Linked DNA regions of Alligator mississippiensis. The protein of the gene in region 1 purifies or fractionates together with the protein of each later gene. This does not show direct contact. Links are inferred from orthologs where the notes say so. Each region holds a gene or a part of one and is shown on either strand. Other genes may lie near its edges.

Evidence for each region. The genes of interacting proteins can lie anywhere in the genome.
Region 2: the proteins of ANAPC15 (region 1) and CDC26 purify together in Homo sapiens (affinity purification with mass spectrometry; 3 studies listed by BioGRID and IntAct, with this or other methods). This does not show direct contact. The link is inferred for Alligator mississippiensis from reciprocal best matches to the Homo sapiens genes ANAPC15 and CDC26.
Region 3: the proteins of ANAPC15 (region 1) and ANAPC1 purify together in Homo sapiens (affinity purification with mass spectrometry; 3 studies listed by BioGRID and IntAct, with this or other methods). This does not show direct contact. The link is inferred for Alligator mississippiensis from reciprocal best matches to the Homo sapiens genes ANAPC15 and ANAPC1.

Annotation. Positions count from the first base shown.
Region 1 is NC_081824.1:477,729,506-477,736,801, reverse strand, and holds ANAPC15 (anaphase-promoting complex subunit 15), read left to right. Parts: upstream 1-4,371; 5' UTR 4,372-4,453; intron 4,454-4,737; 5' UTR 4,738-4,742; coding exon 4,743-4,862; intron 4,863-5,076; coding exon 5,077-5,136; intron 5,137-5,750; coding exon 5,751-5,888; intron 5,889-6,350; coding exon 6,351-6,398; 3' UTR 6,399-6,795; downstream 6,796-7,296. UniProt on the Homo sapiens protein: Component of the anaphase promoting complex/cyclosome (APC/C), a cell cycle-regulated E3 ubiquitin ligase that controls progression through mitosis and the G1 phase of the cell cycle.
Region 2 is NC_081835.1:49,102,244-49,110,141, reverse strand, and holds the start of CDC26 (anaphase-promoting complex subunit CDC26), read right to left. Parts: upstream 3,002-7,898; 5' UTR 2,895-3,001; coding exon 2,814-2,894; intron 1-2,813. Other genes in the region: PRPF4 (U4/U6 small nuclear ribonucleoprotein Prp4), read left to right, coding at 3,030-3,146, 4,235-4,412, 4,743-4,929, 5,165-5,252, 6,841-6,920, 7,554-7,647. UniProt on the Homo sapiens protein: Component of the anaphase promoting complex/cyclosome (APC/C), a cell cycle-regulated E3 ubiquitin ligase that controls progression through mitosis and the G1 phase of the cell cycle.
Region 3 is NC_081824.1:237,110,621-237,117,882, forward strand, and holds the start of ANAPC1 (anaphase-promoting complex subunit 1), read left to right. Parts: upstream 1-4,261; 5' UTR 4,262-4,382; intron 4,383-4,846; 5' UTR 4,847-4,870; coding exon 4,871-5,083; intron 5,084-7,262. UniProt on the Homo sapiens protein: Component of the anaphase promoting complex/cyclosome (APC/C), a cell cycle-regulated E3 ubiquitin ligase that controls progression through mitosis and the G1 phase of the cell cycle.

The DNA of each region.
Region 1 (7,296 bases):
GCCCCTGCTTCTTGGATGGGGACAGGGGAGTACAATACAACTCTCCAGCACTGGAGCAGAGGGAGCCAGGGCTATGCCAGGCAGGGCTGACACCTGAGCGGCTCGGCCCCGCTTTGCACTGAAGCAGGCTTGACGTACCCATGGGGCAGGTGGGGTCTTGGTCTGGCCTTCCACCTGAGCAGCTCCAGTGCTAAGGGGGGCCGAGCTGCTCAGGTGGGACGTCAGACCCAGACCCCATTTGCCGGGCGGGGAAGTCAACCCCACACGTTCCTCCAGCAGCAGGGGGTATTTTGCCACCTCCCTAAAAAAACAGCAGATTTTTCCAAAGAGCAAGGAAAAACCTCATCTTCAGCTGACTCACCCTCTTTGTCCTGTCTAGGCTGCGAAACAGCAGAGTGACAGCTAACAGACAGCACAACCACTCAAAGAAAAGTTAGCTTCGAAGATGAAGACCTGCTAAAAAGGAGACAGGGAGGTTAACACCTGTGGGGTGGAGAACAAGGAGCTATTAAGATAGGTGACCTCCTCGGCTGCCAGAAGATTAATAGAACAGCTGCTGCAGTGTGATGGAGGAAGCAAATCAGAGGCAGAAAATACACACAGCCTAATTTTTTTTAGGGGGGAGTGCATGTTGTTTGCAAGAAAAGATGGTAGAAACATGAGAAAATACGGTATCTTCTTGACACTGGCCACGTCCCACTCAGCTGGGGCAAAGAGCACCAGCAAAACCAGAAGGAAAAGGATGTCAAGCCAAGCGTGAAGATACCATTAATTCTTTCACTACCTCAGATGAAGGCAGAGGCATGTTTTAGAAGCCCCACGTGCGACTGAATTCCTGCTGGGCACAGCTAACAGCCAGCCAGCTTATCACAGATAGCAACAAGGTAATGAACGCTTCAGAAACATATCACAAACCTCAACTTAGCGAGGGGGAAACTGAGGCAGGACTCGTAGACAATGAGGGTGGGAAGGGACCTCAGGAGGTCACATCCAGTCCAACCCCCTGCTCCAAGCAGGACCAGCCCCAACTACATCATCCCAGCCAAGGAAGAGATTGAAACACTTACCCCAGGAAGCGGGGACGTCCAAGGCAGGGTTAGAACCGGGGAGCGCCTAGCATCAGGCTGTGCTCCCCACCTTGCTGTCTGGGTAAGCACAGAGCGTCCTCAATGATCACCTTACACCGGCCTGGAGCATGCACTTTTCCTGTGGGGGATGCAATGCTGCAGCAGCAGCCCTCACGGCTTCGAGTGATTCACGGAGCAGGTCACCCCGACGAAGCAGAGTAGAAACTCCGTGCCCACTACTGCGAGGTGGCTCTAAAATAAAGCACGACCACAGGCGCCGTGGCTGAATCGTGAGCCTGACAACACATTTGTGAGACACGCCCCGCTCCACGCAGACATGCACACACTTGATCCCAATCCTGGAGCTGACGCAGCTTTCCCTCTGGCCAAGCGCAATTGCCCATCCTCAATGCAAAGGCAGCCAGAGGGCCAAGCTGGCTGTGCAGCTAATGATTAATAGATCTGAGGAGTATTTCCAGGGTGGCTTTTCAATGCAGAGATTTTTTTTTTGTCTATGCACTGCAAGGTTTTTTCCTCTACTCACCACCGCAGCAGCTGGAGCTCTGAGCCAGCAGCTTGCTGTGGGGGGTGGTCTGCTACAGTTCCCGGATTTCTTCTCTGCTGAAATCCTGCTCTGCCATCCTCCAGCCCCTCTTGCCACTGCCCTCCCACCCCATGCTGCCAGCTCCCCACCTTTGGCTGCCCCACACAGGTCAGGATCCAGGGCCCGACGTTTCCCTCTGGTCACCACGGTCTCTTGCCTCGCTCCCTTGGTCCTTCCAGCGCTGGACCTGACTCAGCACCAGCATTGCAGGCATGAGAACCGCTGTCTCTCCTGCTGCAGGGCTTTCCCTGTTTAAACCCCCCCCCAAGCCCCTCTCCCCATCCAAGACGCTGCGCCCTCCCTGACAGCATTGTGCGCTAATCCGATCTATGCATCAGAGCTCTAAGCCCGCAGGGATGGGCTGCAGTCATCCTAATATTCAGGGCTGTTTGCTCAGGTCTGTCGAGCTGAATGGAGCGTAGTAAAGCTTTACCCTTTCCCTCTCGCTGCTGGGGGTCCTCCCTGTGCCCCACAGCAGCAAACACTGCCCGTGAAACCCGCTGCATCCGAGTAGGTTTTGCATGATGCATGGAGGTGCTAGGGCTCCCGTCTACCCCGTACCAGCCCCGGGGCAACTCCCCTTCAAAGCTGGTGGGGACCAGACCAGAGAGGAGAGTGATTTAGGCAAGGAAAACAAGCCAGAGGAGAGCAGATGCATGCTGTCCTGTATCTGATGGGGCCACAGGGAAAGACATCCTTTGGGCTGCTGAAGAAGCAAAGTCATCAAGCTGGACAAACAGTTTAACCCCTCTGGGAGCGCTTCTCCCAATCTCAAGGAGAGGGTGGATCTGCTGAAGACTTTATCACTTTTATGTGATGCTGCAAGGAAGTGAGATGATAGGTGCATTGGAGATGGCGCAGCTCAATATTGCCAAGAAGCCTGAGAAAGCTCTGACAGCAGCCGCTCCTCAAACCGACCCTGCTACAGACACAGGCAATATGGACTAAGTCAGGGCCAGCATTAGCTGCCAAAGCAGCAACATCTGTCAACCCAAGTCCCCCGTGAGCATCCTGAACAGCCTGAGAGCGACCACAGCACCAAGGGTGAGCCCAGAGCAGCCAAAACCACTGCATGTCTAGCAGGGACGTGCCCCCAGGCTGCGGGCTGCAATTATCAACCTAGGCTGTCTGGACGCGGGAGCTGATGCCATCCTCATTCCCGAGCTGTCCAGGCCTGCCTGGGCCCATCTGAAGCTGCATCCAGCAAACCGTTGGCCCCGATCCCTGCCGGGATGCTGAGTGAACAGCTTCTGCGTGAGATGGCGCCTGCATGAGACAACCTGTCTACACTTAACCTTCCCCTCCGCCTGCTGTCCTCTCCCCTGAGCTGGAGCGAAGCAAAGCTGAGCAGGGCGAAGGCAGATGTGGGCTGTCCACTGCGGGTTCAGGGCTCCCTGCCCTGCTGCCCTTCCCTTGGGAGCCCCATGCTTGCCCGCCAGTGGCAGGGGGCACAAGTTGCTACCCCCACTGCTGCCGGGTGGGCAGGGGCCACGTGGCAAAGGAAAGGCAGCAGGGTGGGGAGCCCCAAGCCCGCAGCGGGCAGCCCGCATCCACCCTGTGCACAAATCTGGGGTGCACGTGCCCCCCCCATCCCGCTCCCATGCACCGCTCTGGCTTGGCAGCACCCCCAGCCCCTCACTGTGGGGGCCACAATCTGCCCCCCCCCCCCCATGCCCCTTTCCTCCACAGCCTGACCTGCCGGGCGCTGCTCTCCACGCCGCCCAGCCGCGCTCCTGGCCACGTGCACCTACACGTGGGCCCCCTGCGTCTCGCTCCCGGAGGCCCCAAGCAGGCTGGAGAGCTTCCCGCCTGCAAAGGGAAACCCCCTCACCCTCCCATTGCCCCGGGCGTGTGCGTTAACCCTCCTCCGGACGCGAGGAGGGTGAGGAGGAAGTCAATCGAGATTTATGAGCGACTCGTAATAAAAAAACTAGGCACATGAAATGAGGTGAAAACAACAGGAAGTTTGTTCCCCCCCCCAGGACTTCATCAATCACAGAAGCACAGACCACGGGGGCTGCAAGGGACCTCGGGGGGTCACGTCTAGCGCAACCCCTGCTGCAAGCAGGACCAGCCCCAACTGCATCATCCCAGCCCAGGCTTGGTCTACCCGGGTCTTCAGGATGGAGATCGCACCACCTCTCTGGGCAGCCAGTGTTTTACTACCCTCCTCGTGAGAGCTTTTCCTAATATCCAACCTCAACTTTCCTTGCTGCAGCTGGAGCCCATTGCTCCTCGTTCCCCCACTGGGAACGGTGCCGGTCCAGCCCGGGAGCCGGGCGCCCCTTGCCCCTTTTGGCAGCCTGGCTCCACGGGCGGCCTCGCAGAGCCGACCTGAACCCCCGGCCGATAAACCCCACGTGCCGGGGCCGGCGGGTTACAACCGGGGTCACCGACTCTGGTCCAGGGGGCTTCATCGCGCCACGTCAGGACGTGAACGACACCGAGCGCCGCTGCACGCGGCGCATCACGCGACGGCCGCATTTTAAAACCCGCCGGACTCCTGTACCCATGGCACCCCGCATTTCACACTCGTGCTCGTGAATGCCCGGCGCTGCACCTCCAGCTGTTGCTGTGCCGAGATGGGCAAGGGGAGGGCGCCCTGCCACTGCCGCGCGCTGCCCTTGGTCGCGTCCCCTGACGGCGCACCACGTGACGCGCCGGGACCCATGTGACGCGGCGGCGGCAACTTCGTCCCGGGTGCCTCCTCCGCGCAGGCGCGTGAAGGCGTCACTTCCGCGGTGGAACTCCCGCGCGGCGGCGGGAAGCAGCCGGGCTGCGGGTGAGTAGCGCGCTAGGGAAGGGAAGGGAAGGGAAGGGGGGGCACGCATATGTCACTTCCTCCCCCATTAAATCGCCCCTCCCCCACTACCCCTCCAAAGGACACCTCTCCCCCCAAAGTGACCTTGCCCCCCCAGCCCCCCATCTCCCTGCCCCTCCCCCATCTGCCCCCCCAAAGGGTGCCCCTCCCCCACCCCTAGGGCACCCCTCTGCCCCTCCCCCATCTGCCCCATTGCCCCGCAGGGGTCGGGCCGTACTCATCCCCCCGCCCCGGCGCCCCCCCAGGAGTCATGTCGACGCTGTTCCCGTCGCTGCTGCCACGGGTGACGGAGACGCTGTGGTTCAACCTGGACCGGCCGTGCGTGGACGAGAACGAGCTGCAGCAGCAGGAGCAGCAGCACCAGGCTTGGGTGAGCGCGGGGGGGGGCCGCTGCTCCCCTGCCCCGCGCCGCCCCCAGCCCGTCCAGGAGCGCCGGGTCGCGGCGCGATCTCTCCGTGCGGGGCCTCGGGGGCGACGAGTCGTCAGGAGGGCAGGGCTCGACCCCGCGCGGTCCTTGCTTGCCTGCCGCGCGGCGTGGTGAGCCGCGTGCCCCGTGCCGACGCCTCTCCCTCTTCTCCCCCCAGCTCCAGAGCATCGCGGAGAAAGACAATAACTTGGTGCCCATCGGGAAGCCGGCCTCGGAAGTAAGCGTCGCGTCCCGTCTCTCCGTGCTGCCGAGTTTCCCCTGTTCGGGGAGCACGAAGCCTTTGAGTTGCGGTGTTAACGCCTGCAGCGCGTCAGGCGTGTTATTTCCGTGCGCACACCTCTAGTGCGTGCTAGTGCAACAGATCGCACGCCTTCGTACCAAACAGCTGCTTTCCAAGGGCGTTTCCGGAGGGGCTGCTCGCACGTGGGTCCTTGGTGAGGCGGGGAGCAGGGTTGAGCTCCATTCGGTGGCTGCTCGAGTCTGCCCCAATGCCCTCCGCCGGCACATGGGACCTGCTGCCTGCCCCCGAGATGGGAGGGGAGCTCTTCTCCGCCCCCCTGCTCCAGTATGGACAGGAGGTCGTTCTGCCCCTGGGGGACCGTCCCCATGAGGAAAGGGGCAGTTGCGTCCCATTTCCCCGTGGGGTGAAGGGGGCATCTCTGCACCCTGACGAGACGTGGGCAGGTGATTGCAGGGTGGAACTAGAGGCCGTGGGAAACCTGCGGGTGCTGAGGGGTGGGTGAGGCCCGTGAGCTGGGCGTGGGTGCAGGGGTCCCTGGGCCGTGGGAGAGGGCTGGGCTCTGACCGCTGTGGTCGCCCCCATACCTACAGCACTACGACGAGGAGGAGGAGGAGGACGATGAAGATGACGAGGACAGTGAGGAGGACTCGGAAGATGACGAGGATATGCAGGACATGGACGAGATGAACGACTACAACGAGTCCCCGGATGATGGAGAGATCAACGAGGTACGTGAGGTGGGGCCAACTCAGCGTCCTCCCAGCGTGGGCAGGGGTCCTGCAGGGCGGCGGAGCACGTCCCCTTCCCCTGCCCTGCTGCCCTTCGCTCCCACAGGGCAGCGGGCTTCTGCTCATCCTGCTCTGGGTCTCCTGAGCCAGCCTTGGTCGCATTTACTGGGCTTTTCCCACGGTGAGGCAGCCTGCATAGAGCCCTCCCGGCTCTCCTTACAGGACCCCATCTTGGGGTACCTTGCCTCCCCCCTCCTGCTGACTATGCTTGCCTAAATGACAGGCGAACCCTGTCATCTGAGGTCATGTAGACCCTTGCCCATACAGCCATTGAGCCCAGACAGCCTTCCCCTCCCCCACCACATTGCAGTTCTCCCCAGGGTCCTTCCTGTCCCTGGGGTCCCTGTTAGCAGTGGGTTTGCTGGAGCCGAGGGAGCAGCTCCGTTGTTTCCTCTTTCCAAGGTGGACATGGAAGGAGCGGAGCAAGATCAAGACCAGTGGATGATCTGACGCAGCGGTGGCCTGGCCAAGCGGGAGGCTGCTGGCATCTGCTGCCTGAGACGCTGAAGGGTCGGGGGAGAACTCTTCCCCCAGCTTGGGGTGGGGGTTTCCAACAGGCCCCAGCTGCACGGGGCCCCGGAGGATGTGGTGGCACAAGTGTCATGGGAGCTAGATGCTGGCTGCATCCTGGGCTCTGCAGAGAGCCGACTGGAGGGAGGCTCGTGGTGCTGGCGCCTGGACCTATGCCCGGCCACTCCACACGGAGGCAGCGCTTGTTCCCCGCTGACCCTGCTGGGGTTGGAGGGGCAGTTGGCATGGGCCAGGCAGCAGGGCCTGGCTCTGAGTGGCCAGAAAACCCCATCCTAGAAGTGCTGGAGATCTTCTAATAAATTACTTTTTAAAGAAATGCCTTCCCGGTCTTTATTAGCAACATCAGAGCTCCAGGACTGCTGTGCAGGCCTTGCTGTGTGTTGTACGTAGCCAGTGAGACCATGTTTTCCCCTCTCCTGCAGCTCACAACCGACGGAGCTGTTCTGATGCTGAATTCTTCCCATAGCCTGCCCAGGGCTGGTTCCCACCACTCTCGTTATAATAATAATGCGGGGTTTCTAGCCTATGTGATCCATCAGGTTGATGTCCTGTTCTGTGGTGAATCAGAGCTGCTCAGCTGAGCCCCTAGGCACAGAGGGGCTAAGAGCGTTGCCCAAGGGGACTGGGCACAGTGATGCATGCTGGTGTTGGGGGAAGCACCCTGGGCACTGAGCAGCTCTCATGTAGAGTGGATCGTGGCAGCAGGGTTCGGGAAAACGGGGAGAGACCGAATGGTTCAAGTCGTGGTCAAAAAACACATCCTGGCTGCAGCTTCCTCCCTCGCCTTGGCCTACAGGTGAAGTGCTCCTGGCAGGGG
Region 2 (7,898 bases), on another chromosome or scaffold:
ACAGTCTAGTTCAGGAGTGGGCAATGATTTTGGCTGGAGGGCCACTTAATGACTTCTGCTGAGCTGTCAAGGGTTGCACACCTAAAATCTTTTAGAATATATAATTTTAACAAATTATAAATAAAAAACAAAATTATACTAAAAATCAAATATCTAAAGCATATTTTAATTTTATTTAAAAAATATTTTTTGTCTTCGTTTATGTTTTTTGAGTAGCATATATAGAGGCAACTGCATAATAGCTCAAAATACAGTAGAGGTGAATCAATACATTGGTCTGATATTGGATCGGCACCAATATCAAGAAAATTGTCTATATCGGAAATCAGCCTTTTGTGGGTAATAAATGGCCCTTGTATGCGCGCAGCCATAGCACAACACATAGGCAGTGAGGAACACAGCCCCGGGCAGTTGCAGCTGGTAAGTCTCTTGTAGTGGAAGGGGAGTGGAGACCGGGGCAGATCAAGGCCCCTCTGGTGAGGGAGGGAGTGAGACTGGGGAAGATGCTTCCCAGCCTGGGGGCAGGGTGGGGAGAAGGGGGAGGGTATGGCACAGAGTCACAGCTGGGGGGGGAGGCAGGGAGGGGCGGGGCACGGGCATGGGAAGGGGGGAGTGGCTCCTGCCCTGCACACTGCTCATCCGGGAGCCGCTCATCCGGTGGCTCCAGCTGCTGCTCCCGTCACTCGTCCAGGAGGGCATGGGGGGGTGTGCCCCCTTATCTGTGCAGAGAAGGGTGGGCCAGGGCTGGGCCAGGCTGCATTCAGGGTGGGCAGTAGCACTGGGAGGGGGCTATGGCGGGGACTACAGCAAATTTCGGGGTGGCTGCAGCCCCTCCAGCCCCCTCCCACCGCCACCACCACCCACAGCCCAGTCCACACCCCTGCTGGGAAGAGCCCAGTGCTGTACCCTGCCCCTCCTTGCCCCTCAAGGCACACGCCCCCACCCCTGTGTCCTCCAGGGGTGCGCGCAGCAGTGGGAGCTGCCCCCACCAGATGACCTGCAGCTCCATCCTGTGCCCCACCCCACCCCGCCCCAGCTGGGCAGTGCCTGCCCCACCCCCACTCCCTCCCTCACTGCAGGGGCCTTCATCTGCACCCCCACTTGCCTTCCCCTCCCCCACCCCTTCCACCACAACAGACTTACCAGCTGCACACAGCTGTTTTGGAAATCAAAGTGGTATTTGCTAATATGTCTTCTTAAAAATTGGCTATCAGTATCAGCCCCAAAAATCTCTATCAGTGCACCCCTAAAATACAGTCTTACTCTAGTATATTGTGGGGGGTAGGGAGGCAGTGTGTGTGTATGTGGCAGAGGGCAGGGGGGTGTGAGGAGCTGCCTAGTTGCTAGGTCCTGGGAGCTGGGCAAAGGTGGGGGGCTAGGGGCAGGTGCAGCAGAGCTCAGCCAGGTGGTGCAGATGCAGGTGTGGTCAGCTACTCCCAACCCCACACCCAAGCCGCAGATGCCCCTGCGGTGCTCCACATGGGGCTGAGCCCTGCCTGGGGCAGTCCCATCTGCACCTGCTGGCTCCAGCCAGCATGCACAGCTTCCCCAACATGCACAGCTTCCCGGCAGGGCTGCAGCTGTTTAGGTATTGCTTGGTCTCCCCCACACCTCCAGCAGCTCCTCCTCCTTCTCCTGCCATATGCGCCGGGAGAGGAGAGTGGTGGGGAAGAGCTGCAGCCAGGAGGCTCCTGCCCCAGTGCACCTTCCACCCACTCTGCCTGCCCAGTGTGATGAACAGACATGAGCAGCCACCTCTGGGTGGCCGAGTGGACAGAAGATGGCTGGGAGCTGGAGGTCAGCATGCTGGGGAAGGAGCTGCCTGGCTGCAGAGTCCCTCCAGCCTGGAGTGGTGCAGCAGGGGCAGGAGGAGGAACCACTGGAGGTGTGGGAGCAGCCCCGCCAGGAAACTGTGCGCTGGCTGGGGCCGTTGGCAGATGTAGGCTGCCCTGGGCAGGAGAACAAGTCGAGCCAGGCTCCATGTGGAGCACTGCAGGGGCAGCCACAGGCTGGATCCAATCAACTGGCTGGCCGGCAGTTTGCCCACCCTGGTCAAGTTCCATCCTCTTTGTGATCATCCTGCCAGTAGCTGAAGGCTGCTATTAAATCCTCTCTCAATCTTCCCTTCTCCAGACGAAAATAAGGCCAGTGCCCTCAGCCTTTCCATAAGTCATGTCCCAGCCCCTGAGCCATTGTTGCTGCCCTCTGCTGGACTCTCTCCAATTTGTCCACATCCTTTCTATAGTTGGGGGGGGGGGGGGGGGGGGGGGCAAAACTGGACACAGTGCTCCAGATGTGGCCTCACCAGTGCCAAACAGAGAAGAATAATCACTTCCCTTGACCTGCTGGCAACACACCTACCAGTGCAGCCCAGTATGCCATTAGCCTTCTTCAGAACAAGGGCACTCTGCTGGCTCATATCCAGCTTACTGTCCACTGTCCACTATTATCCATAGTCCACTGTAACGCCCAGGTCCTTTTCTGCAGAGCTGCTACCCAGCCAGTCACCCCCGGCCTGTCCCGGTGCACGGGATTGCTCCGTCTTAAGTGCAGGACTTTGCACTTGTCCTTGTTGAACCCCATGAGATTCCTCTGGGCCCAGTCCTCCGGGTTGTCTCGGTCCCTCTGAACCCCAGCCCTGCACTCCAGTGTACCCACTACTCCCCCCGCTTGGTGTCATCCGCAGACTTGTCTTTCTCGCCTCCGCACGGCGGCGGAGCTCCCCGGGACGCCCCGCGCACGGCAGGCGGCCCCGGCCGCGGCGGCCCCTGGGACGGGAGCGCCGAGTGCGGCCGGGTCTCGACGCGCCTCACCTCGAGGTCCTTCCTGATGCTCTCGAACTCCTCGATGTCGTCTAGCTTCAGCTCCAGGCGCGTCGGCTTCCGCCGCAGCATCGCGAGCGCCACCGGCCCCGCCGCCTCTCGCCGGCAACCGGACAGCCCGGCCCCGACCGCTGCCGCAAACCTGCCCACTTCCGGCCGGCGCCTCCCGGCATACCCTGCGCTCACTTCCGGCCGGCGCCTCCCGGCATGCCCCGCGCGGCAACCCGGAACCAGTTGGGTGAAGACAGGCCCGTAGTGCGGAGAGTCCCTGCAGCGGCCGGTGTTGCCGTCGCCATGGCGTCCGCGCGGGGCCCTGCGGTGCGGGTGAAGCGGGGCTCGGGGGATCGGGGCGCGGTTGGGGCCGGGCCGGGCTGGGCTATGCGATGCGGGGTCTCTCGTTGCGTGCACCGGGCCCAGAGCGGGGGGAGGGAGTTGGCGTTTCTCCTTGTCCCTGATTGTGGGCGGCGCGGGCCCACCCCGTGAAATCTGCTTCTTGCCCGGGTCCGCCCGGCGCCGGCTCCCCGAGGTCCTGGAAGGGATCTGAATGCCCCCGGCAGGGCCATGGCCCCTGGTCCCTGGGTGAGAATCACCGCAGCGGAGGGGTGCACGGGAGTGCTGCGTAACACCGGTGGTTGTGAACACGTCGATCAGTTGTATCCCTGCAGCAGGTTTTAAGACTCAGGTAGACAAAGGGTTGGCTGGGATGATCCAGTTGAGGGGGGCCCTGCTTCAGGCAGGGGGCTGGACTGGATAAAATCGGAAAACGAGGGTTGGAGGGGACCTCAGGAGGTCACATCTAGTCCAACCCTCTGCTCAAAGCAGGACCATCTCCAACTCTACCGTCCCAGCCAAGGCTTTGTCTACCTGGGTCTTAGAAACCTCTAAGGATGCAGACGACGTCTCTGGGTAACCTGAGGCCTGTTCCAACCCTCGTTTTGTATGACTTTAGACTTAAAGTTGAAACATCCCGTTATAAATTTGGGATCATACCCTGGCAGCATTGCAGTTGCTGGGAAATTTGCTAGTAACTTACAACAGGGTTGGATTTTTGTGCCTTTATTTTTGACTTGCTGCCCAACCTTGTGTTTACTCCCTAAAAGTTGAAGGGATATGTGCTGTTGTTAAGCACAAATTGATATGAGTGCATCGGAAAGCAAGTCTGGGATATATTTTTACACGTTGTAAAGAGGCATAAATAAAGAAATCCCTGCCCGGTTTCCTTAAGCATAATTTGTGTTGAGGAATCCCTTCCCTGTTCAGAGCTAATGTTCTAGGTATAATTTCAGGGTTTCTGGTCTGGGTAGACCAGAAACCCTGAATGATTTGTGCAGCCAAAGCAGTTTGCTGAATTGCTGCTCCCAAGCCGGATACATACTGAACCAGTCTGTTAAAATCTTGCTTTTATTTTGTAGGCAACAAAAACCAAGATCTCAGACGAGAGTGATGCTCCCCCAGTCAAGAGACCTCATATCTTCTATGGAAGTTTGGAGGAGAAGGAAAGGGAGCGTATTGCCAAAGGGGAGCTGGGGCTGCTAGGAAAAGATGGGATGAAAGCTGCAATTCAGGCTGGCAACATTAACATTAGCAGTGGTAAGAACACACTCTGTATAGTGCTTTCAGCTTCTTTTCTTGCTTCTGGCTTAGAGATATTTAAAAAGACATTTTTGTTGGGGTTCAGCTCAGGGCTTTAGGACAGCCCCTGATCTGCTGCTGTGTTTTAATACAGAAATTTTGGCTGCAGAGACTACAAGCCATCCAGTATTCCATCATGATTTGAATGGGGGTGGGAAGTCCATTGCCAGCACTGACCGTCCCTACCCTAAATGGGCAAAAATATTTATAGCTTTTAATGGTTATAGTTGTCTAAGTCTCTGGTGCAGTTGTCATTGCTTCAATTTGATGGCTTTGTTTCTGGCATAGGTGAGGTCTTCGATCTTGAAGACCATATGAGTGAGCGCCAGGCAGAAGTGTTGGCTGAATTTGAGCGCAGGAAGCGTGCTAGGCAAATCAATGTTTCCACCGATGACTCTGAAGTCAAGGCCTGCTTACGAGCTCTTGGGGAGCCCATCACACTCTTTGGAGAAGGGCCTGCAGAAAGAAGAGAAAGGTGCTGTGTCTTGTCCTTTGTGTGGCCTGCCCTGTAACCAAATCATAAATCTCTTGTAAAACTCCTTGAGCTGTTGAGTGCACTGAATGCTGTTGCCCACTGTTCCTTCTCAGTGATATAACAGCAACTGATCAATTTCTTCTTCATTCACTCTTTACATCTGTCAGACATGGTCAAGAATGCCTGAGAAGTTATTGACTGAATCTTATTTAATGCTTGGTGTGTTTCATTTCAGATTGAGAAATATCCTCTCGGTGGTTGGCACTGATGCCTTAAAAAAAACGAAGAAAGATGACGACAAGTCTAAGAAAGCCAAAGAAGAGGTAAACATCTCTCCCATTCTTGGATTCTGCAGGTTATTAATGTAGAGAGAAGGAGACCATTTTATAGAAACCTTCAAATTCCTTCATGGACCATCTGTAACATTTCCAGAGCTCTGACATTGATTTTTTGGTATCATTAGACAGCCTGATAGTGTAAGGTGGACTTATCAGTATACGACTTATAGGACAGTGACATCCTAAGGCAGGGGTGGGCAAAATGGTGGATCTGGCTAGTGGTCAGACTTCTTTTCCCAGCAGCCCCTGTCCATGTTGCTACAGCCGTTTTCCATGGCTATCTCAGAAGTGGTGGCACTGTGACAGCGCGGGGCCAGGGTTTCCATGGAGACTGGCCCCAGCAGTGCTGGTAGGGCGCGTGGCAGGGCAGGGAGCTGCTCCGCAGCCAGGGCTGGGATCTTGCAGTAATGACAGTGTGGTCTGGAGCTGGAGCAGAGCCACAATCCATTGCACGTATGCCCCTGCCTGGGACTTGCAGGCAGTGTTCCCTCTAAGGAGCAGCGGTCCATGAGTGTGCCGCCTCGGCCTAGCATGGGACACTTACCAGAGGGGGCTGGGGGCTAGGGCTGGAGGCTGGAGCTGGAAGCCGGGAGCCAGGGGCTGGAGCTGGGGCCCAGGGGCTGGGCCAGAGGCTGGAGCCAGGGGCCAGGGGCTGGGCCAGAGGCCGGAGCCGGGGGCCAGGGGCTGGGGCAGAGGCTGGGGCTGAGGGCCAGGGGCTGGAGTCGGAGCCTGGTGCAGACTCCCTGGCTCCGAGGAAGTGCTTTGCTCCCCTGCATCAGGGCCGGGGAGTGGAGCACTTCCCCGGAGCTGGCGGAGCCCGCACCAGTCCCCCGTCCCAGCCTCCATCGCTGCCTTGCCTAACCTTAGGGAGGAACCGCTGCCTGCCCTGAGCGAGGCTCCGCAGGCTCCGGGACACTGCTTCACACCCCGGCACCGATGCCACGTGCCTCCTTGCTCCCTGAGGCGATGCAGGGGAGTGGAGCAGTGTCCCGGAGCCTGCAGAGCCTCACTCAGGGCAGGCAGTGGCTCCTCCCCAAAGTGAGGCAAGGCATCGATGGAGGCTGGGGCGAGCGGCTGGTGCAGGCTGCGCCAGCTCCAGGGAAGTGCTCTGCTCCCCTGCCCTGATGTGGGGGAGCGGAGCACTTCCTTGGAGCCGGCGGAGCCCATGTTAGGCTCGCGCCCCAGCCTCTCCCAGTGCACAGCCTTGAAAAGGCTGTCCGTGGCCACACTTTTAGTTGTGCACATGCACGCGCCTTAGAGGGAACCTTGCTTACAGGTAGCGGATCACAGCTCTGCCTCTGCTTTGGACCATGCTGTCACTGCCGCAAAATCCCAGCCCCAAAGCAGCTTCCCACCACCGCACTGTGGGCCCTGCCAGCCCTGGTAGAGGCAGTCTCTATGGAAACTCTCGTGCTGCACTGTCACAGTGCCCCTGCTGCTGGGGTCTCCATGGAAACCGGCCACAGCAGTACAGGCGGGGTTGCTGGGAAATGGAGTCTGCTGCAGGCTGGACTTTGACTGCTCTTGTCCTAAGATGTTCTTGAATTTGTTTGGTTTGTTTTCTTTTTTTTAGTATCAGCAAACCTGGTACCATGAAGGGCCAAGCAGTCTGAAAACAGCTAGATTGTGGATCGCCAACTACTCACTCCCCAGGTAAAGAAAGGGGCTGTAAAGCAAGCAAAATGAAAGAAGGTGCAAGCTTTTCTGAAGAGCAATGAACTCAGTAGATGATGGGCAGTGCAGGCGTTTGAGGTTCAGGATAAGAGGCAACACTGGACATGCAACAAAGGCTAGAGCCGAGCGTAACTGGACTTGGAGGTTGTGCGCTTAGTTTGAGTCTTGCCACAGAGTTTTGCTGGCAGAACTCCAGCTCACACTCAATACCTCTCTGCAGTGGCAGAACCTTTTTGTCTGTTGGTAGAATCATTTCACCTCTGCAAAATGGAGTAAGGCTTTTGCTGACACCCAGCGGCCAGCTGAAGAGGTTACAGACACCACTGTGCTTTTAGCTGCAGTTCAGTCAGCAGCTAGTGTCTTTCCACTGGACACTTCGTGCTCCAGCAGCCCAGGTGCAGAGCGGAGCTGCACAGAGCTACCAGTAGCAGATTGGTGTGCACATGCTCTGGTGGTTCAGCACTAGCAGCAGAGACGAAGGAGTGTAGATATAGCCTGAATAGTGGTTGTAAGACTCCAGCTCTGGGACAGAAGGGAAGGTAAAGGATCTGTTCCCTGCCCTACAGCAGGGAAGTGCAGGGATTCATCATTATAATTTTGTTTCTGCCACAGGGCAGTGAAGCGGTTGGAAGAAGCCCGACTGCTCAAAGAAATTCCCGAGGCTACGAGGACATCCCAGAGGCAAGAACTGCACAAGTCCCTAAGGGTAGGTGTGGTTTCATCTCAGCTACTCTCTCGTGATAAGACATCAGCAAGGGGTTAAGAGAACAGAATGCAGAGGCCTACACTAATCTCCCAGTACACATTATTCTTCCTTCCATGCATGTTGTGCTTTCACTGTGTTCTGCCTGTCCTCCCTTTTTTATCATCAGGCTTGTCAGTGGTTTGAGAGCGGGACTTGGCTTTAAATACTCTGCCTGCAGGACAAAAAACTGCAGAGACAGTTGTGCACAGCTG
Region 3 (7,262 bases), about 240 Mb from region 1:
CCTCTTGGGGGAGGGAATATGAGATGTTCCCTTTTAATGGAGGCTGCTTGGCATGGCAGCTTATTGTGGCTAGAAGGGCCAATTGCTTGATGAAAAAAAACTTGTACTCTTAAAGATGACTAGGTTCTTTAAAGGGATGACATAAGACTAGTTCAATATGGCTGTGAATTAGTGATGTAGTGACACTAGGGTCATTTTCAGTGATCTGGACATTACAGGGAAACTGAGACTGCAAATACGAATTTAGAATAGAAATGAGACTTTGAACTGCAAAAGAGAAATCATTATTATACATATTTATTTCTAATTCTTCCATCCACTTGTGGACTGTGGCCAGGGGCTGCTCAGTTAGGGGTTACCTGTAAACACCTTCTTCTGAAGCCCCCTCTACATGTTACAGGTATTGTGCAATTACTTTGATACCAGCTACACCTGCAAAGTAGTTATAATACACAATAAAAAGCTCCAACCAACTATAAAGTTAGACCTTGAAAATGTGTACAACTTTACAGCTGGTTGCTATCTAGCTTTAATTTGCATGTGTAAGCAGGGTCTCCCCTGCAGCTGGGAATCCTCTCAGCTGACAGACCTCCCAGCCACAGGGTTGCACCTTGCCTACTGTGAAACCCCCAGGCATGGGGGATTGTGGCTGCCTTGGTCCCCTGGGCCTGGGGGATTGCGGCAGCTGCAGTCTGCTGGGCCCAGGGGTGCATGGGGTTCCCTCACATTGTGGGTAGCCAGTTCACAATATAGTAACCAACTGGTCACTCTTATTTGTTTCATAACTGGGGAGATCAACTTCCAAAGAAATGGAAGGGAAGTGGCTTGCAGGCCAAAAGGTTGGAGGTAGAGGAGCTTCGCCCATCCTGTTTTCAGGGGCAGAATGTGTATCTGAGAATCCCAACTAGATAGTAGGCTTGAGACTTCTGCATTATGCCTGATTTACTTTCTCCCAGTAAACCCAGATGGCAGAGCATTCTTTCTGCATTGAGAAGTGCCCAGGTTCTGCCGCAGCAGCTCCTGTGCAATACCTCCCTGGATACCACGGTACAGACATGCCCAAGCTCCCTTACTTCTTGGAGATCCCTATCTCTCTTCTCTTTGAACAGCTGCCATTGCTCCTACCTCTACATCCCAGTAGTGGCAGCTGAGTTCCACCCTGAGCAAAACCTGCCACTATGGTGACAACACCAAGACAGAGAGCCCCGCTGCCTTGGTGAAAGCTGAGTGATAGCTTCCCTCTTCCAAGGCTGGTTCCCTGCTCTAATAATAACAGCAAAGGCACCCTGCCCCCTCATCCCAGGGGTGGATCCAGAGGGGGTGCAGTAGGGTGACTACATCCCTCTTTTGGACTGGATTGTGCTGCTGGAGCCTCTGGGGACTTCTTTTTAAGTGGACGAGAATCCTCCGTTCTCCTCCAGAGTCAGAGGCACATCTCCTCTCTTCCCCTTCCTCTGTTCCCCACCTGTCCTGCTCCTATTTCCACTTCCTGGGGAGGGGGTGGGGGGGGGTGAAATCTTCAGAGCTGATCCTACTCATTCCAACTGGGCTGCAGGGGAGAGGGGGAGGACAGGGGGCAGCCACAGTGCCTACTCCTGGGGGGAATGGGCAGAGTGGAGGAACCTAGCCCCTTCCTGTTGCTGCACTGTACCCAGCACAGAAGCATCCCCAGCTCTGGAACAAATGGGAAAACTGCAGTGACTGGGAAGGGGAGGGGAGGGCACCTGCCTTAGAGCATGCAGAGAAAAATCAGGGATGCTTACATGTTTGGGAACTTAAAAAAAGTCCTCAGAAGCTCTTGTAGGGTGGTGTGTCTGTACCAGTGGCTTCACATCCCACCTGCCTCCAAGCTGCCTCCCCCACTGTCAGTGACACGGGCAGCGTGGATGGCTCTGCCCCACACCCCTATACCTAACCACAGGGCCATTAGCATGCCTGGGCATTGCCTTACCCTGGGGCAGGGGCCTCCTGCCACAGCATCACTGTCCTCCATCTCCACCTCCATGGCGAAAGCCAGGTGGCAGCAGCAGGTCCCTTCCCTCTGGGCCACTGATACACTGCCAGGAGCTCTGCAGCAGGTCTAGTGTTGCCAGGTCTTAAGTATGAAATTATTGTATTTACTGAAAAACTACCATACACTGAAAAAAATTGCAAATGAATATACAAATAAGCCTTCTTATTTACTTTATATTGCTCATTGTAAGTCACCATGAGAACTGGGCCATCCAACTGGAAGCATTTCTTTATTTTGAGGTAAGCTGTCATAAGAAAATGCTGACAGCAAACCCAAAGGCCTGTTAAGACTCCTTGCAAGTGACTTGGGTTTTGAATATGCTGTCAATGAGCTGCCGCAAAAATAGGTACATTCTGAACACATTTTCTATTATTGATTGTCAGGGATCCTGGCTTTCTCTGAAAAAAAATCCCCAATTTCCAGTTTAAAAAAGTAACCCCAAATCCACGTTTCCATGATTAATATGGAATGCCTCTAATATATTGCAACAAGGTTCTTTGGGTAAAGCTGCTATTTCTTATTAGACCAACTCAAATAGTTGGAAAAAATTCTTGCTTCCTCAGCCTTACAAAGGTCTTGCTTGACCAATCTCATTTCCTTTTACGACCAGGTGACCTATCACCTGGACAAGGGGGAAGAGATTGGTGTCGTATATCCTGACTTTAAAAAAGCCTTTGATCTGGTATCCCAAGATCACCTCTTGGCAAAACTGGCTAGCTGTGGACTCAACCTCACCATGATCCACTGGCTGGGGAATTGGCTCTGCAGTAGGACCCAGAGGGTGGTGGTTGACAGAAGCCAATTGTCACAGTGCCCTGTGACCAGTGGGGTCCCTCAAGGCTCTGTCCTAGGGCCTCTACTGTTTAACATCTTTATCAGTGATGTAGACACTGGTGTCAGAAGCAGACTGGCCAAGTTCGCCAATGACACCAAACTCTGGGGTAAAGCATCCACACCTGAGGACAGGAGGGTGATCCAGGCAGATCTTGACAGGCTCATGAAATGGGCAGATGAGAACCTGATGGTGTTCAACACCCAAAAATGCAAGGTTCTCCACCTTGGGAGGAAAAACCTGCAGCATGCTTATAGGCTCGGCAGTGCTACGCTGGTTAGCACTACAGATGAAAGGGACTTGGCGGTCATGATTGACCACAAGATGAACATGAGCCTTAATGTGACGCTGCAGCTAGTAAAGCAAGCAAAATGCTGGCTTGCATCCATAGATGCTTCTCAAGCAAATCCCAGGACGTCATTCTCCTCTTGTACTCAGCCTTGATGAGGCCGCAGCTGGAGTACTGTGTCCAGTTTTGGGCTCCACAATTCAAAAAGGATGTGGAGAAGCTTGAGAGAGTCCAGAGAAGAACCACGCGCATGATCAGAGGTCAGGAAAACAGATCTTACGACGACAGGCTAAGAGCCATAGGACTCTTCAGCCTGGAAGAGTGCAGGCTCAGGGGCGATCTGATGGCCACCTATAAGTTTATCAGGGGTGCTCATCAGGATCTGGGGGAATGTCTGTTCACCAGAGTGCCCCAAGGGATGATAAGGTCGAACGGTCACAAACTCCGCTGGACCGTTTCAGGCTGGACATAAGGAAGAACTTTACTGCTTGAGCCCCCAAGGTTTGGAATAGACTGTCGTCGGGGGTGGTTCAACCACCTACTCTGAAAGCCTTCAAGACACATTTGGATGCTTATCTTGCTGGGATCCTATGATCCCTGCTGACTTCCTGCCCCTGGGTCAGGGGGCTAGCCTCGATGATCCTCCAGGGTCCCTTCCAGCTCAGCCCGAATGTCCGTGAAATCTATTAAATCTATGAAATACCCGAAAGCTTGCAAAGAATTTTTTTTCCAACTGCCTGAGTTGGTCTAATAAAAGATATTAGATTTACCCAAAGAGTCTTGTCTGCCTATGTCCTTAGACCAACACGGCTACAACCTACACAACTTATATAGCGAGAGAGAGAGTGGTGTTTCATTTTAGTCACGGAAAAATGTGGATGTGGGGTGTTTGTTTTTTTAAATCCGAAATGGGTTGGGTTTTTTTTAAGCAGAGAAAACCAGGGTCCCTGTTAATCATACATGGTGCGAAGGCTGAAGTGATGGCACCAACACCATCATTATGGTACATCCGTCTTGTCCCCTCCTCCCGGCCGTACCCCGCTGCCGCGACAACAGCCCGGAGGTCTCCCGCCCCCCGCCGCGGTGACGCAGCCTGCGAGCCGAGGAGGGTGGTGGGAATTCCAAGATGGCCGCGCCCGCGTGAGGCGCCGCTGGGGCTTGCGCTGCGCTCTGCGGAAGGAGCCCCGGTCCCGCTGCCGCCGCGCGCCCGCCCTCCCCCCGCCCCTCCTTTTTCCTGTGGCAGGCAGGTTCGTGCGCGCCCGAGCGCGTATGGGTAGCGGTCCCGGACACCTCACCGGGAGCTCAGGAAAGGGTCCCTCCAAAGCGGGGTTGGGCCAGGGCGGAGGCTTTTCTGTGGCCTCACTGTACAGTGGTTGGGAGGACAGAGCTGTGGGAAGGGTGGGACCGGTAAGGAGCTTGGCAGACAGTGCTGGAATCGCTGCTATCCTGGTGGTTTTCTTTGTGAAAACCTGGGACGCTTGGCTCAGGCTTCAGGAGAAATAGGAATAAGTGAGCAAGTCAGCTGGCAAGCAGAACTGTACACTACAGAACCTTGAAGAGCCTTGAAATGTGTTTCCCCGTATTTCTTTTTCTTGAAAATCCATGTTTACATGCAAAGGTTTTTTGTTGTGAACTGCTAAATATTACCTAGGTGATTTGCATGACATCGGAGGCGTGACTGGCACTGATGACTGTTTTGTCTTGGATTCAGAAATAATGTTGATATTTGGAACCCATGTCGAACAAGCATGAAGAGAGGGCAACGATGATTGCAGCCGGGGATTTGCAGGAGTTTGTTCCTTTTGGCCGTGACTACTGCAGGCACCACCCTAATGCCCTGAACCTTCAGCTGCGGGAGCTGCAGCCAGCTTCTGAGCTATGGTCCTCTGATGGAGCTGCTGGCCTTGTGGGATCTTTTCAGGAGGTGACAATCCACGAAAAACAGAAGGTAGAGTTGGACTTACTGATTAAACAATTATTCTGATGATTAAACCTAATGAGCTTGAAGAAAAAAACTTTTCATTAACTATTTGAACTATACGTACTAAAATACATAATATATGTACTAATATATGCTTAAACTCCAAATATTGAGGAACTCCCTCCAAAGAGCAAATAGGATAGCTGTATGTATTTGTTTAGGAAACGCATGTAAAAATATAGATAGTACATTTTACTGCACTGTTTCTCATTGCAGTGATGTGCTCTGGTTCAGCACAGTTGTTACATTTCTGTCTAGCCATGTGTAGTCACATGGGTTTCATTGATCTGGCTTCTACAAACAAGCTGCTGCAGTAACTACATCCACCCTATGAAGAAAAGGACAAAAGGGCAAGTTTACATACAAAAGCTATACCACATTAACTATTAGTATAAGAACACACTTCTGATGGGGATGCAGTTCTTCAGCTACAAGGCACAGATATAAACATGTCTACATTAGATTTTATACTGAGTTAATTAAAACTGTGAGGGAGAAGGGAAGTAAAAAATGGCAAAAATCAGTTTACATTTGTGCCAGGTAAATTAGCGAATGATGCAATTATTTCAGTGAGATGTCCAGTGGAAAAGTACAGAGAAGACGGGAAGAATTTTCACCTGGTGTTTGTTAACGTGGAAGAAGCACGTGACCATGTATCTATTAAGAGAAGTGGTGTGATATATGAGGGAACAACTAGTACTAGAGCTGTGTGAGGGTTGTGCAAAATGAGTGTAGAGGCTCAAAACCACAAATTAGAAGCGCACACTGGAAGGCGGGATTTCCCAGTCGAGGTTGGGGTTTGTCAAGGGTCAGCACTATGCCTGTTTTTTGTTTGCATTAGTTCTTGATATGTTCACCAGGAGCATTCAGAAGGATGACGTTGCATAATGTTTGTAGACTACGTGGTCGGTTTTGCAAAAGGCAGAGAATGATTTGAGCAGGGGGAGGGACATCCTGAAAAGGCATAGTCTATGGATCAGCAGAGAAAAATATGGAATACATGTCATGCACTTATTCAGGGAGTGCACCCCTGGGATTGGATGACCCACACACCTGCATATACGTTCAAGTACCCGAGCGCCATTGTGGAAAAAATAGAGACAGATGAGAAAATTAAGAACAGAATAAATAAAGGATAAAGTGGGGTTGGTTACCATGACTTACGATGTAAATTTTTTCTTCCAGATTAATTGGCATTTTTCTAAGAGTGGCAAGGCCAGTGCTATTGTATAGATCAGTGCTGGCCAACAAAGAAACAATAGTCGTCCATGATATGGGTGATGGAGATGAGGATGCTGATGTAGATTTATGTAGCCAGTAGGAAAGACTAAGAAAGGGAGAGAAATGATGACAGGCAAAGGTGACATCAAAGTGGGGACACACTTGGAGTAAGAACAGTGAGACTGATTTAATGGTTTTGATAGAAAGTGATGTTCCTAACCTACCATTAGATTAGTATGAAAATTGTGTGTAGGACAGGCCCCAAATAGTTCCCCCCACAGCAGCAATCTTACTTGTAATGATGCCTACTCCATTCCCTCCCTCCTACTTTGATGTATTCCATAACTGATTGTGAAACCCTAATACACAGATAAAATGTTGTACAATCAGGTGGGCAAAAGCTTTATGCCATCACAGGTGGCTGCGAAGTGTAAGATTCTATCTAAAGGAACAAAAAAATACTGCTTCTGACATCGTCCGTTTCTGCAAATTATGGATTAATCTTTTTTGTTTTTGTTTTTGTTAGTTTTTTGCATGTAAAAGAAGCAAAGCTTTTTTCTATTTTTGTCTGTCAGAATCTAGCTGGACATGTGTAATGTTTACAGCTATTCATAATCCATGATTTGAGATGTGTATGCATGAGTTTGTATGCAGCTGGGAAGGAATGTACCTCTGGTAAACCAAGCCCTTGGGTATCAGATAGAAGAGTGTTCCAGCACTCTAACTATAATATAACTGCGTTGTTCTCTTGGTTGGGAAAATATTGTGAGAGGGTAGTAAGGAAATAAGTCTGAGCATTTCATAATTGGTGCATATATCAGCAATCTCTGCAAACAAGCAGAAGAGCAAACAGGCATGGAGACCCCCCTCCTGCCCCCCCTTCTAAAAGAGGTTTCTAGGGCTGGTAGAGACGAGCTGGAAAGGA